2 linked regions of the Kluyveromyces lactis genome follow. The protein of the gene in region 2 binds, or shares a complex with, the protein of the main gene of each other region. Links are inferred from orthologs where the notes say so. Each region holds a gene or a part of one and is shown on either strand. Other genes may lie near its edges.

Region 1 (2,613 bases), on a different chromosome or scaffold from region 2:
CTATGTTCTGCTGATAGAGTGGCCGATATTCTGGATAAGCTTGCCGAAGAGTTGTCATTTGAGGGAACTCTGAAAACAGGTCAAACGTTTATATGGGAACCAATACCAGATTTGTGTAACGTTGAGCACCTCGAAGGGATTAAGAAGTTGCTCAACGGACCATACCATTTCATCTTTTCGCCAAATGCGGAAGAAGGCGCTAGGATGCTGGGTGAAACAGAGCCAACTGAACTTTCGGATTGCAGCACAATATTATTGAAATTAGCAGCATTGATTAAACCTGGTAACATTTGTGTCCTCAGATGTGGTAAAAAAGGGTCATTGGCCTTAATTTGCAATAAAAATCCATCAAACGATGACATTATCCATTTCCCAGCATACCATTACAAGACTCCAGAATGTGTCATTGATCCAACAGGAGGCGGAAATACTTTCCTTGGAGCATTTGCATTCGCATACGCCATGTGTAAAGACATTTCAATTGCCAGTATATGTGGCAATATTGCTGCAGGTTGTGCCATCGAACAGATCGGTGTACCATCTCACAATGGAATGCACTGGAATAAAACGACTTTTGCAGATAGATTATTATATTATTTATCCACTTATGAACTGAAGCAGGGCCACAGTGAAATATTGAACTCTCTTCAACCAATGAAATATTAAGTCTGTAGGTACCTATTGGGAACAGTTAGATCAGTTTTTTATTTTAATTTGTATTATCATACGTATTGGGAAGAAATATTCAATTTCAGAGCATTGATAGTGTCGACCAGTTCCCTTCTAACTTTTACGGACCGTACAGAAACAAATGGTACACTTACTAAACCCATCTTCCGTACATGGCCGTCATTATTTTCGACCACTTCATCCAGTAGAAGGTTTGCTTTGCAATCAATAGCGATGAGCTTCCCGGTCAAAGATCGTTTCTGATCCAAGTTTATGTACAAAGTTTCGCTCAGTAAATCGTGTAAGTGTACGTTAGATAAATCTGTCATTAATGTAAATTATGCGAGTGATAATGATAACTGGTTGATGCGTTGCCGTTGCCCAGTTTCTCATCTTTGAGGTAGTTTGCCAGATTTCAATCTCTGCACTAAACTCATTTCATATACTTTTACGTATTTTTTTTTTTTAATGGGAAATCTCTAGTTTTAAACAGATATAAACATCTACATCTGTTCAGATGCTCGTTGAAATCCTCGTTCTTTCTCACTAAGCAACTCAGTATCAACGACTCAGTATCAACGACTCAGTATCCGCTGGAATTGATATCATTTCAGAAAGCTTTACTCGTATTAGCTGCAACCATTGTGTCTTCTGGTTATTTTCGACATCTTGTCAGTGTTTTATCAAAGTATTATCGTATTTCGCAATGACCACCACGCAAGGAACCGAACAACCACAAGATTTGAAAGTCAATCTCAAGACAATCACAGCAGAAGACCTATTGTCTAGAAGAGCTAATATGGTGGAGCTTTTCAACTTGTTGGACGACAGTAGCAGAACCGAATTGTTTCTTGGTTCGTCAGAAGACCGCGAAAAGAAACTGGCTTCTCTGAGGAAAAGGCTTCAATCGGTACAACAAGAAGTTGAGACTTTGAAATCAGAATCAGATTAATAAGACGGGGATGCTATGATACAAGCTGCCCAATTCCGAGAGGTTCTCTTTTGTGCATTGTATTCTATTTTTTTTGCTCTTCCTGTCACGTGACTTCCTGTCTTCTGCCATCATTGAATTTGAAAATTGTGGAAAGTGAACTTCAAAAAGATCCTTTTAAGTTGCTAACCCCTTCAACAAGGAAAGCACTCATCATCTTTTGCTGTTCCAGGCGTTAAGACAACGATAATAGAATCGTTTGGTGCTGATATCGCGTTATTGTATTCGATAGGCACGCTACGGTCAAGCTTATTAATTAAAGATGAGGTATGTTCGTTGAAATGGAGTTTTTTCTTTTTTTTAAGATGCTGTGTCTCAGTATCTTTTATGACTAAAGTTTGAATGATCTGTTCAGAATACTAACTATAATCTTGAATGGCTCGTTACACGATATACTTGTGTATAAACGACAAGTTTACATTTTTGAAATCAGTTCTAATTCAAAAAGGAGGATCGAAACGGACGTCATGAAACTTTTGATGAGTGATCATGACGTTGAGTTGGTTGAAGATAAGATGCAAGAGTTCCATATAAAATTTCATGGTCCCAAGGATACACCGTATGAAAAGGGGGTGTGGAGGTTACACGTTGAGTTACCTGACAACTATCCTTACAAATCGCCCAGTATAGGGTTTGTCAACAAGATATTCCATCCGAACATCGATGCTGCATCCGGGTCGATCTGTTTGGACGTGATCAACTCTACGTGGTCTCCGCTATACGACCTTTTAAACATCGTGGAATGGATGATCCCAGGGTTGTTGAAGGAGCCAAATGGGTCGGACCCTTTGAATAACGAAGCAGCAACGTTGCAACTGAAGGATAAAGATATGTATGAACAAAAGATACATGAATACATCAACAAATACGCTACCAAGGAAAAATACATACAGCAGTTTGGGAAATGGAACAGTTCCGATGATACAGATGATGAGGATGAGGATGCGGATATG
Region 2 (2,569 bases):
CCATTTCTTTAAATCGTTCAACCATTTGGTTGTCCATATCATCAGAACTGACAACTGAATTTTTTTTCACATCATCTAAATCTGAGATTAACTGTGTTCTCTGCTGGTAGCATTCATCAATACTTTTCTTTAACTCCTTTAACTTCGCATTTAGTTCACGATCCAGACGGTGAATGGAATCCTCGATCTCTGTTAGCTCGCTATAATTGAAAAATGATGATAATAACTGATTAGAAACTTTAATATTGCCGAGAATATTATCATAAAAGGAATGCCATTGATTTGAGGCACCATCTTCGTGAAGCTTGTTAAGAAAATCAACGTTGCCATTATACAGCACCTCCACTTCATAGCAGTAGTTTTTCAAATACTCAAGCATAACAGTACCACACTCTAATAACCGTTGAACGTCTTGATAAGTTTCTTTTATAACGTCCTGGAAAAATTCAACGTCTGATTGCAAAGCCTTCAACCACCCTAAATTCCGTAGAATGACATTTTTATCCAACTGTAACGAATCGCTTATCGGCGATGGCAAAGGTTTGAAAAGTTGGAACCTTGGCTTTGGGGAAAACTCGATCTCCTCATTGAATATTCCACGGTCAAATACGTATATTTCTTCCAATCCTTCTTGTTGCAGCTTTCTGGAATCCCATCCTGCTTTCTTCAATATCATTCCATAAGGTAACAATAGAAGTATGTCATCGAGCGGTATCTGGAAAGTATCACTTGCAAACTGTTTCAAATCTAAGAAACTAGGGAAATAAACATTAGATAATTGGTGTGAAACTCCTGATGTAGCACATATCAACTTGCATGGCGGCATTATTAATAAAATTATCAGATTGTAACCTTAAGACTTTGGAAAGAAATAAAGGGACAATGTCGATTTAATGATGATGAAATGGGGGGTGTTAGCTCACAGGATTCTATATCATGAGTATTCTTTAAATGCTGAGATATATCTAATCTGGAGTACTAAAGCCGTAAGCAACAAGTGGAATAAGAGCCGATAAACGTCAGGGGACTGAAAAACTATGTAACAGGTTTTCTCACCTATAAAACTTACCGGGGGGTCCATATAATCTTTTTTCGAATCAGTTTGGTGAAGCAAGAGCACGTGACTGATATGCTTTTATTATAAAAATTTGGTTTTAAACCTCCAGATGATGAGATAAACAGTTTTAAGTAAAGCTTTTTATATTCGCTAGCTTCGGCAGCATCTACTCTCATTGATATAACTAATTAAAAATTAATAAGAAAGTATACTGCAGATAAACTAAGCAAAGGATGGTCGAAATAAGGTACACACGATTCGATATCAGTAATGACATGGAGTTTTCCACCATCAAGAAATTGATCGATGAGGATCTCAGTGAGCCATATTCGATATACGTGTACAGATTTTTCCTAAACCAATGGCCGAACCTAACGTATTTGGCATGGGCAGAAGGATCGGGTAAGCCCATAGGATGTATAGTATGCAAGAGCGATACTCATAATGGAGTGCGGTTAAGAGGATACATTGGCATGTTAGCAGTGGAGAAACAATATAGAGGCCGTGGGATAGCGAAAAAACTAATTACCTTAGCTATAGATACTATGATTGATGAAAAATGTGACGAGATTATGTTGGAGACTGAATGCAGCAATGCAGCTGCTTTGCATTTATACGAGAATATGGGCTTCATCAGAATGAAGAGATTATTCCGGTATTATTTGAACCAGGGAGATGCGTTTAAACTCATTTTACCGATTACAGAGAAAAGTTGTGTGAGAAGCACATTCCTGGGGATGGATTCCTTTCCTACCGACACCATACTCTAAAGTAAATTGAATTGATTTTATATCAGTAATTGTCATTTTAATACACACACAATATATATATATATATAGCATTGCGAAAAGAGATTTCATTCCTCTTCATCGAACTTTGGAGCCAAATAGAATTGCAAATTACCGCTTGAGATATCGAATTGGAAAAGGGCTGGCGCTTCTTCCGATAATTTTATAGTGATTGTATCTGATAGAGAGGACCCCTTAATGATGTCGTTTAAATATTTAGCACCGAACCTTAAATCTACTGGTTTTTCTATGGTAACTTTAATTGAACTTTCAGGATGATCCAAATCGGTGAAAGGTTTCACAACAATGGACCCACTTCCGATATCACCTTCTGCGGCGAATTTGATGGTATCCTTAGTGACTAAGATGTTAATAGAATCACTCAATTGACTTAAGTCACGTACGGTCTTCGCGAAATCAGCAGATGGCATTGTAATATAGGATTCATATTTCATATCAGAGATCTCCAAGAAATCTGTTTCGATTTCCATCAATTTTAAAGAGTATTCACTGACACGGTCTCTTTTTGTATCTTCGAATAAGATTAGAATAGAATCTGGAGAATCTTCAGCGATAAGCGTTAGATTGTCCGAATTGTTACCACAACGAAGAATCTTACTCAAGTTCGTCAAATCGCAACCTAGCACGACATTTCTGTCCGCTCTAAACTCTTCAAATGCTTCTACATTGATGGAAAGAGAGACAAGGAGGACACGAGAGTCAT

What was found.
Region 1: the proteins of MAK3 (region 2) and MAK31 are in contact, whole or in part, in a crystal structure (PDB 6YGA), measured with the Saccharomyces cerevisiae proteins. The link is inferred for Kluyveromyces lactis from reciprocal best matches to the Saccharomyces cerevisiae genes MAK3 and MAK31. Residues at the interface, in NP_015376.1 of Saccharomyces cerevisiae: Glu13, Ser32, Ile33, Tyr34, Arg37; in NP_009948.1 of Saccharomyces cerevisiae: Ala30, Val31, Asp32, Gln34, Asn36, Leu37, Leu38, Ser57, Pro59.

Annotation. Positions count from the first base shown.
Region 1 is NC_006037.1:973,839-976,451, reverse strand, and holds MAK31 (Mak31p), read right to left. Parts: upstream 999-2,613; coding exon 723-998; downstream 1-722. Other genes in the region: MAK32 (Mak32p), read left to right, coding at 1-666; HTL1 (Htl1p), read left to right, coding at 1,376-1,621; E2 ubiquitin-conjugating protein UBC8, read left to right, coding at 1,923-1,927, 2,094-2,613. UniProt on the Saccharomyces cerevisiae protein: Component of the NatC N-terminal acetyltransferase, which associates with the ribosome to acetylate nascent protein chains in a cotranslational manner.
Region 2 is NC_006038.1:1,057,115-1,059,683, reverse strand, and holds MAK3 (peptide alpha-N-acetyltransferase MAK3), read left to right. Parts: upstream 1-1,290; coding exon 1,291-1,827; downstream 1,828-2,569. Other genes in the region: autophagy protein ATG11, read right to left, coding at 1-826; POL30 (proliferating cell nuclear antigen), read right to left, coding at 1,914-2,569.